Arabidopsis thaliana: one gene and its partner. The protein of the gene in region 2 interacts with the protein of the main gene of each other region in a pairwise test. Each region holds a gene or a part of one and is shown on either strand. Other genes may lie near its edges.

Region 1 (5,262 bases), on a different chromosome or scaffold from region 2:
CTCATCAAAAGCAAGAATAAGACCACTATTTCCAAAGCGTTGTTGATCAACAACAGAGTTTGGACACACTTAGTAGTCCATGAATCTGATTGTAGAGATGATCCCAAATTGGTCACTAATTGATGTGAGTGCAATGATGCTATACATACTACTGTACATATATACTAGATATTACCCACTGCTGTAACCAGCAAGCTCATTAATTATCCCCATGATTCAATAGTCATCCTTGCTTTGCCTTTTTGCTTTCTGATTAACCAATTTGTTGATAGACCTAACCGGTTTAGTGTAATCAGGATCCGGTTTGCTTTATTTGAAGAAATCTTATTTGAAGAAATTCTTTTTAGTTGTGAAAGATTGTATTTGACTTCCTTCCCAACTAACTCTGCCTATTTTCCTACTAATCTCCACCAGTAATTAAGTTTGGCTTTGTTCCTACACACGTGCAAATGACTAATGAGTTCTAAAACAGTTTGGTTATAGCTTACCTAGGATTGAATTGATTAGTTGATTGGATTATAAGCTATATATCCAATCAATCCTTATAAATATTCAATAAACTGTTTTGCAAGCAATCTCAAGGAAAATTTGAACTTTGAAGTACAATACATCACTTTTCAGGTTTTCAACTTATTCCTATCATTTTATTTATATTTCATATATTTATTTTTAATGTTCTTAAGTATTTAGGCTATGTTATTATATCTTATCTGAATGTTAAAAATAGAAGTCGGTAACCATGAAATAGAAGTCGGTAACCAATGCTACATTTCATGTTTTTTTTTTCAATTTAAATTTGTTAGAGAACTGAGAGTACAAATTAAAAGCCAACCGTCGTAGACAAGACAAGAGAGAAAGTTGGTGATGTGCTTGAAGACCAAATATATGTTTGAGCAAATAAGATGTCAAATTCATTTTTATAAAGTACAAAGCCACTGATATATCAGTCAGTTAACCTATTAATTAATTAAGACACAGAGTCGTTTTAGGGTTTCCACGTTGGTCCGATTTAAGGAAAATAAAACATTTGGTTAGGTCTGAAAGGTTTAACAAAACATATCCAACGATATTTAATTACTTTATTCTACTTATACGTGACCTGCAATTAAATCATAGGTCCCCAACATCTTTACCAAACTCTCTCCTTCCCCTCCAGTATTTTTCTCTTAACAATGTATTGATATTTTCGAAGTTATAAAACCATTTTAAAACTTGTAACAATTGTCCATTAGTTATACCAAAAGGCAATACGGTTGAAATTTAGTCATCGAGTTCGATCCACAAATCCTGAAATAATAACCGTTACATTCCCCCTTAATTCTGGACGTACGAGTTCGCCTTAGTTATTTTTTATTGTTGATTTAATTTGCGGTTATGTAAAATTTCATAAATTTGGAAAATATTGTCCACATGTAATATACATAGCTAGACTTTTGAGATTTTCATTGCTTGTAACATTGTTGTTTTATGTAGTTAAACACTAACAAATGTAAGTTTTATTTATTTCTTTCAAAGTAACACTAATACAACATCATAACAGGTAAATGCAACTATAGATTTTGCAATCTAAATGTTCGTTCTTTGAACCATATATTGTAGTTAACTAATTATAGCGTTCTCCCACCTTGATTCATATTCTAGAAGTTGTCCATATATAAAAAGCTGACCATAATAATTAATATACATGTGTACATGTAGCTTGTAAAAGGTTATACGAACGTAGATGAAGTATTGGTGGCTGAAGTAGAGGGTTTAGGTTGGAAAAAAATATATTTAAGGGTAGACGTTGAAAGTTTAACGAAAACACCCCACCAAGCAATCTCTTCCCTCCTGTGTAATCTCCTTTTTTCTTTTCATTACTCATCAATTACTCAATTATTAAAACTCTCACATAAACCAAAATAATGTATATAAAAATTACGAAATAAATGGAAAAATAAAAAAGGGTAGATTACTTAAAAGGAGTGTGTTTGGTTAGGGAAGACGTTGGCATCAATCGCCGGTGAAAACCTCTCTCCAAACTTTCCCTCACTCTCTAACGAATCTTATTATATTCATTACTTTCAATTCTTTATATAATATCTAAATAAATATACTTATATAAATACATGTATGTATGGTGCTGTTGCTCTTCAGCTTTCTTCTTGTTCCTACATACCCATCTTCCCTCACCTACATCAAACCTAGGGTTTCTTAACTATATCAACAACATATATAAATTTATATATAGGTTGTGATTTATTGAAGATCATAAAGATCAAAAGGAGAGAGGTATTAAAAAATGATGTGTAGTCGAGGCCATTGGAGACCTGCAGAAGACGAGAAGCTAAGAGAACTCGTCGAACAATTTGGTCCTCATAATTGGAACGCCATAGCTCAGAAGCTCTCTGGTCGATCTGGTAAAACTGACTTTATATTAAAGTCATTTCTTTAATTTCTTACAAAGCATATATAAACTAGGGTTTAATATATTTATATAAAAATATATATGTTGGTTTGATTGGATCTTTTGGTTTCAGGTAAGAGTTGTAGATTGAGATGGTTTAATCAATTGGATCCTAGGATTAACCGAAACCCTTTCACGGAGGAAGAAGAAGAAAGGCTTTTAGCGTCTCATCGGATCCATGGGAACAGATGGTCTGTGATCGCTAGATTTTTTCCCGGTCGAACTGATAACGCTGTTAAAAACCATTGGCACGTCATCATGGCTCGTCGTGGCCGAGAACGGTCCAAGCTCCGTCCACGAGGCCTTGGCCATGATGGCACGGTGGCTGCGACTGGGATGATTGGTAATTATAAAGACTGCGATAAGGAGAGAAGATTGGCAACCACAACCGCTATCAATTTTCCTTATCAATTCTCTCATATTAATCATTTTCAAGTCCTCAAAGAGTTCTTGACCGGAAAGATCGGGTTCAGAAATAGTACTACTCCAATACAAGAAGGTAATTAGATAATATGGCTTGAATTTCTGTGTTTATGTAGCTAATATAGCTGCACAAAGATAAAACATGTGTAGCCATACGTATATTGTATTTTGTGTGAATACATATAGGCATATATAAATTACGAACTCATAGAAAACATGTACATTCGTCATATTAATGTGCAAGTAAATGAGTAATGGTGCATTAATTCGTATACAACTTGATTTAAAAAAAAAAACGATTTTTGTATAGATTATATGGGTTAAAATTCATTGTTTTCTGTAAACTCTAAATTAATTTTTGATCAATTTTTTTTGTAAAGATAGTATGAAACGATCATGATTTTCATAGTTACATGCATGCATATGGATGTACACTTGCATGTGGGTACGATTACATACTTGTGTAACTTCCAAAACTAACTTTTGGACATGGATTAATTTGTCAGGAGCAATAGACCAAACTAAACGACCGATGGAGTTCTACAATTTTCTTCAAGTAAACACGGATTCGAAGATACACGAATTGATAGATAATTCAAGAAAAGACGAAGAAGAAGATGTCGATCAAAACAACCGAATTCCTAACGAGAATTGTGTTCCATTTTTCGACTTTTTGTCTGTTGGAAACTCTGCCTCTCAGGGTTTATGTTAATTTGTCCGTACCACATGTACTATAAGGTGGACCATATGTTAATTAAAGATAATGTAGAAAGTACTAATCAATTAGAGCTCTTGTTTGAGCCAAATGTGAAAATTAGTTAAGCCATCCCAAACATGTTCTTGTATAACAAATATAAGGTTGTACTTTTCCACCTTTATCAGGTCTAATTTTCTATTTTTATTTTAAGGATGTTTAATCAGACTCATCACCATTCGGTATTTTTTTTTCTTCATATTTACAGAAATTCAATCAGACCAATCGATAAAAAGGATTGAGCAGAAGTTAATTTATTTTAAAACATTATTAAGTTTAAAGGTTTGTCATGAAACCAATCTTAAACTGAAATTCTGAAGTAAAACCAAAAATTTATTCCAAACTGGCCTAGTTTCACTTTATACTCATTTTGGCTATGGACTATGGTATATATTGTCTAAATTACAAGATGCGTATGTACTGAGAAAATTCTGTGTCCTGAATCCGGATTAATCTATAAATTATCGTAATAGAAGGACTTGAGAGTTGAGACCAAGATTTTATATTTTGTGGAATTTAATTTGCAATCGTCGGATATAATTTTTGTGTTGTTGCGTTCTTAAGGAAGATCAAATATTATAAGGTTTGATTATTAACCGAAGAAAATATGTCATTGGTGCCTAAATATATGTACCACCAAATGAACATCCTTTTAATACAGTACTACTTAATTATAATTTCATGCAGACTATTTTGACTCATATAACTTGTGATGATGATATCAAAAAAAGAAAAAGTTTTTTTTTTTTTTAAACTAGTGGTTTTATTTATGAGAGCCTTTTAACTTCTAAAATAAAGTTTGGTTTAGTTTCTTTAATTGTGTGAAGAATAATAATAAGTTAATAACGGAAAGACGAAATCGAGGTTGGAGTATAGATATGATTAAGTTGGGAGTAGTTATCAGCCACCAAGAAATACAATCAAAAGTAGCAATCTACCTTTGTCTAGCTTAAGAAAACACGAATAAAATAGTTCGTTTTATTTAGGTGGAGATGAAGAACACACATCTTGACACGACTTATAACCATACAATTCTCCATCCGAAATTAATATATGAATTTATATCATCGAGTTTTCTTTTTCTTTTCAATTTACTTTTTTCTGAAACTGATGTCATTATGATTGCTAGGGTTTCCTCGTTGAGTTAGATATGTATGTCACCTTGATTATTATTGTTTAAGACAATACGAAAGAACAACCCAAAAAGATAAGCATAACTGTATATACATATTTTATTATGGAAGATAATGAAACGAAACGTTGATCATTGTACAAAGATGTTGAATTAATCAAATTTTGGATAAGATTAAGACACCCACTAGAACAAGAATGTATTAATTTCTGATTGGATGTGTGTATATATTTCCTAGAATCACTTCATATGAAAATAATGACGCGAATCGTTGAATATTTTTCAGTGGTGACTAGTTGATTAATTGTTCAAAATAGTTGAAATTTATCAGATATAGATATGATAAAAGATCAAAATAGTGATAAGACTTTAGAGAGCGAGCATACAGAGTCAATAAAGTGCCGATAGATGCAAATGCAGATAGGATTAAGACTTGTTTTTACTTATAGCATCTTTTAAAAACACTCAGACAAGTTTGTGAAAATAAAATGATTATTCAACTGAAAA
Region 2 (5,566 bases):
TCCATTACTTCGTTTGTAGTTTTCTTTTTCTTTAAGTAAAAGAGCAGAGCGAGAAAAAATTGGTTAGTGGTTTATCGATCACTAACGCAGACTAATCACCATAAAATGGAAATGTATTGAAGGAAATAAGGTGAACAACAAAAAAGGCTGACAAAGAAAACGTATTGTGTGATGCCATCCTTAGATTCTGCCCTCTTCTTTCTTCCAAGGGACACGGTCTTACAAAGTATCTATAGCTACTATCCACCCAAGTTGTGTTGTGTCACTGTTAATTAATTATTACAATAAGTACAAGATGACAAAACTAAATATGATGATGTTTGATATTTCGTGAGACTCTCAAACATCTATCTCTCTCTATTTAGAATTCAAGCAGGAACATACAATACAGAAGTTCAGGAGAGGAATACAATTTTTTTTTTTTTTTTTTTTTGAGTTATTATTGGAAAGAGATACAGTGGCTAACGTTGGATGAGAATTTCCGTAAAGATTGTTTTATAAAGAAAGGGTGTTGGGTCAACGACATTCCAAGGTTTAGTTGTGTGATGTAGAGATATTAACTTTGTTGGTTCATGCTTCTTCCATTGTTACAAGTTATTTATGTTTTGACTAAGACATGTGACCGGTTCTTATGTTCAAATAGGAAAAACAAATACTACAAGTGGGGTAGGTCTCATGTATGTTTCTACTATGCAAATTTATTGAATTTGATCTTCTTTCCAAACATCCAAGCAAAATTGGTATGACTGATTAGAGATTTGGCTATATAGTTGCGTTTATGTTTAGTGCATATTTCTATAAAATGAAGTATAACCTTTAAATCCATGTGTGGTTGAAGATCCGAGTTTTTGGATGTAAAACTAGTAGAAGTTGCAGGTTCGATTGCACTTGGAATAAAAAAAAACTGACCAAATATCAAAAGAAATTGATCCATAACCTTAAAATTGCTCATTAAGCTACCATTTCAAGAGACATCTATATGACAATGGAACTTAATACCATGAAAAATATTAGTGATTAATGCGATCTGAGGTGATTAGCAAGGTTTTCGTTGATTGGATCCAAGTGATGATATAAACAAGGAGATGTGGATGATGTTTAACCTAATCAGGTTTTTATATGTGGTTTATTACTATAATCTTCTAACCAATGATCATATGATTTTGTGGCTTTGTTTGGACATGAAAAGGTGAACACCAAACTTTGGTTTCCAGTTTCTTCTATCAGGAAGATTCGTCATCAGTCTTGGATTTAGTTAATAGTGAATTAGGTTCAAACTTTTAACCCTTTAAAACGACTGTGACATTCCCTAAATGACTGTACAAAGCAGGGATTAATCAGGTAAGACTGAGGTCATCACTTGAACTTTGTCCACAAGATTTGTATCCAGTCCTTTATTGGTAAAGAAGGATGAAACTGCAAAATCATATCCATCAATTCACAGGTTACTAATTAAGTCACAATTGATAATTGGGATGTCACTCATATCAGATAAAGCTAAAAAGTCTATAACAATTACCAACAACAAAAGAACCAGTGGATTGGATTCATCTTGTGTCAAAGGGTTAAAAAGTACTATTGAACTTGAGACGTCATACCTGTGCTGCTAATAGTCAAAACATCCAAGTACAAAAGCAATGAACTGAAACTAGCAGCACTTTAATAAAAAGGACAAAACTCAAACTTTGGATGACATAAGTAATATGATGAGGTCAAAATTTCCAGAAACAGATAGAAGAAAAGGAGAGAGCATCCATATCAAATAAAGCTAAAAACTTGTAATAGTTATAACAAAAAGGGATCACTCTGTATAATAATAAAAGCTCAAAAACACACCAAAAGGACCAGGCAATTTCATTCCCATCAACAACAAAAAAAAAGATAAATGAAAACGAAGAGTAATATATACCAAACTATATAACTCGATTCAATTTCATTCTTGTTTTTTTGTTTTGTTGATTAGGAAATCGATTAAGCTACAGAAGAACATTCCCTTGCAAAGTGACCTTCCTTACCACACTTGTAGCACGCATTATCATTACCTCCTCCACCGCTTCCTCTCTGGTCACAATCACGAGCCAAGTGACCAGAACCACCACACTGGTAACACCCACGAGAAGGCTGTCTCTTAGTCGCACAATCTCTTGCAATGTGACCAACTCCACCGCATGAATAACAAGTTCCACTACCACCACCACCGCTTCTGACGTTTCCGGCAGCAACCTTCTGAGTACAATCCCTAGCAAAGTGACCAACATCACCACAAGTGTAGCAACCATCGTTTCCACCTTTGACCGCTCCACGTTGGTCTCCGTTTCCAACTGATTTCTGAGTACAATCCCTAGCCACGTGACCAACATCACCGCAAGTGTAGCAACCATCGTTTCCACCTTTGGTGGCTCCACGTTGGTCACCGTTTCCAGCTGAAGTACAATCCCTAGCGAAGTGACCAGTATCACCACAATTGTAACAACCTTCTCCTCCTCTAGATCTACGTTCACCACCTCCGCCGCCGCCACCAATACCACAATCTTTAGAGATATGACCTAACTCACCGCAATTGTAGCAACCGCTTCCACCGCCGCCGCGCCTAGCACCGTTACCACGAGAGTTATTCTCCTTCTTGAGAGAACCACCACCAGGAGCAGTAACATTGACGGCTTTAGTCTTACCGTCGCTTCCCTGAGTAATAGCGAACTCAACCGCATCGCCGACGGTTAAACTCCGGTAACCTTCGGAGACAATTGAAGATTGATGAACGAAAAGCTCTACGCTGCCATCGTCAGGAGTAATGAAACCATAGCCTTTAGAAGCGTTGAACCAGTTCACCTTCCCGGTAGATCTCGCCGCCGATTGATCCTCTGAAGCCATCGTTAAAAAAAAAAGTTGAAGAAGAGATTGAGAAATTAGGGTTTTTTAAGTTGGGAAATCCTTAGGCGTGTGTGTGTATATATATATAGAGGTAGAGTGGGATTAAATCTGTAATTAAGAGGAAATTAATGAGAAAACCCTAATTTTAGTGGGGAATGTAATTAAACCCTAATTTGACTATGCCGCCTAATTAAAAATTTTGGTGGAATATTCTTTGGGACTGGAGAAATTTAGGAAACTTGCTATTTCACTTTTTTTTTATCCACGTCCGTTTATCAGCTGTGCACGCGTCCACGCTTGAATTTTAATCGTGGTCGTACGTTATGATTTTCTTACAGTGAATCGCGATAAGATTGGGATCTTAGTCCAATTTTTACATTGGGCCAATTGTTTGTGGTCCAAGATTTTTACTCTGATGGGCTTAAGCTGGACTTGGTATGGCCTTTTTTATATTTTATTTCCCGATTCGGCTGGTTACTACTAAATCAATATCCATCAAATAAATTGTACTTTTAGCTTCAGGCTATGGTATTGCAGCTTTTGCTTATGCTTTTCAAAACTACAAAATGTTGGTGATCAGTGATCTCTCATTGTCAATACACAAAATTAGGTATTGAAAAATAAAACTTTATACAACTTTTTGATAGTGGTTAAAAAACAGAGTCACCTACATAAAAAATCATTGGAACACACGTGGAAATCAAATCCTAGTATTTTCTAATAATTCATTCAATGGGAAAATTACAAGTGAAAGCCTCTAGATCCTCTTGATTGGTAAAGCTCGAGTCTGCTCTTAGCTTCATACAACAAAGCTTCCATATCTTCATCTTCAAGTACATTAGCTTGCTTCGATGACCATTCCAATACCGTTAACACTTCGTCTTTCGCTAACTGTTCACTGTCTGGAACATTCATCGCCACGTAGCTCAGCAAAACCATCGCCGGAATCTGTGCTCCGTTCTCTCCGAAATACGCTAACTGAACCAGAAGCTTTGATCCTCCAGCTTCGATGATTGTCCTCGAGTGTTCTTTCCCTAAAAAGTTATCCTCCGTCGCGAATTTCGCTAACGCGATCGCTACCTCCGCCGCTAAATCTGGTTCTCCGTCGTCGAGGAGTTTTACCAGAGGCACGATCATATGCGTTTCCGCTGATTTGAACGTTCTCGCTAGGTTTCCGATGGATCTTACACAGGGGATGAGTAAATCGGATCCGGCGTCGGCGTTTTCAACGATTCGGAATAACTGGTCAACCACCGCTTTGCACGCCGGTGAAGTGCGTCTGAACGCGGATCTTCTCAGATCTGCGTTTTCCTCAGCCACGGCGGTTATCTCCATGATAGCCATAGCTGTGTTATACTTAGTCTCTTCGTCTCCTTTGTCTAGTAAAACCGCAAAACAGAGTAAAGCTCGTGACTCGGTGATGACTCGGCAGATCGATGAGTTTCCTACAGCGAGTTTCCATAACGCTCTCGCCGCCATCGCTTTCATATAAGTCTTCGTCACCGGATCTTCAAGCTCTCTCCCTCTCGTCACCGACGCGTTTCGCGATTGATGTGCGATACTACCGTAAGCCTTGATCTGTGAACTCATACTATAACTCTTCTCCGGTATCTTTTCCGGGGGTTTATCGTCGTCGCCGGTAACAAATCGGCTAGAAAGATTCGATTTCGATCCTGATCCAACCGCTTTCATCGCCATTGTTGTTGCAACGATGCTATGCATCTGATTCGTCATCGGACTCGAGACTCCGATATGATTATCGTCGTCCTCCTCCTCGTTCAACGCCGGTAAATTCTCTTTACTACTACTGATTTTACTCGCCATTACGACGGCGTGATGCATCGACGTTGCTCTACCCGCAACAACCGCGTATTTGCTATGTTCTTGAACCGTTTCAAACGCTAAATGACTCACAAGAAGCCTAATCACGTTGTTTTGCGCAAACAGTTCTTGACATTTGGCGTGATTACCAGAAACAAGCTCTGAAACAGCCCAAGCCACAACGGCTTGAACCTTCATCGAACCTTCTTTAAGAATACTTGAAAGCACTGAACAAACACCAAGCTGAATCATATGCTCAACACTTTCCGGGTCACGACCCAGTAACCCGATTGTTCTCGCTGCGTTTTCTTGACCGTCGATTTTACCTTCTTTTACAAGTTTCAACAAAGGGTTGACTCCGCCTTCTTCAACTATCAGTTTCACGTATCTATCGTTATCTCTTGCTAAAGAAGCCAACGACGCGGCGGCGTCTGATTTATCTTCCGGCGAACCGGTCATCAGAACCGCGATTTGTTCCCAAATTAAGCACAAGATTGGTTCGTTGGCTGCGATTGGCGGGAGACCTAAGTAACCAAACCCTTCGTCGTCATCGTTACCGGCTGGAGTTGAGACACGGAGGAGCCAAGAGACGTCGCCGACGGAGTTTTCTAGTTGAGAAATCATTTTACGGAATGCTGCGGCGGGGATTATGTTGAAAAGTCGCATTATGTAGCCATCGTCACGGCATCTTTGGACCATCGTCAATGCTTTTTCAAGAACGTTTTCAGTGTCGTCGAGGATACGGCGCGTGGGACGTTCGTAGAGGTCGGAGCTTGCACGGGCCGCTTGACGGAGAAGAGCAGCGAGCTTTTCCGTTTTGGACTTGATATCGGCACATTCTTGTTTGTTGATTGTGGCTTCATCTCCGGCTTTC

What was found.
Region 1: the proteins of CSDP1 (region 2) and MYB52 interact in a two-hybrid assay, tested with the Arabidopsis thaliana proteins (one large-scale study listed by BioGRID).

The regions. Positions count from the first base shown.
Region 1 is NC_003070.9:6,175,483-6,180,744, forward strand, and holds MYB52 (myb domain protein 52), read left to right. Parts: upstream 1-1,998; 5' UTR 1,999-2,281; coding exon 2,282-2,399; intron 2,400-2,519; coding exon 2,520-2,945; intron 2,946-3,375; coding exon 3,376-3,581; 3' UTR 3,582-3,807; downstream 3,808-5,262. UniProt on the Arabidopsis thaliana protein: Transcription factor that confers sensitivity to abscisic acid (ABA) and salt, but tolerance to drought. Regulates secondary cell wall (SCW) biosynthesis, especially in interfascicular and xylary fibers.
Region 2 is NC_003075.7:17,041,472-17,047,037, forward strand, and holds CSDP1 (cold shock domain protein 1), read right to left. Parts: upstream 3,091-5,566; 5' UTR 2,872-3,090; coding exon 1,972-2,871; 3' UTR 1,520-1,971; exon of another isoform or gene 1,417-1,519; 3' UTR 1,328-1,416; downstream 1-1,327. Other genes in the region: ARO3 (armadillo repeat only 3), read right to left, coding at 3,613-5,566. UniProt on the Arabidopsis thaliana protein: Chaperone that binds to RNA, single- (ssDNA) and double-stranded (dsDNA) DNA, and unwinds nucleic acid duplex. Exhibits a DNA melting activity. May be involved in cold resistance. Prevents seed germination under dehydration or salt stress conditions.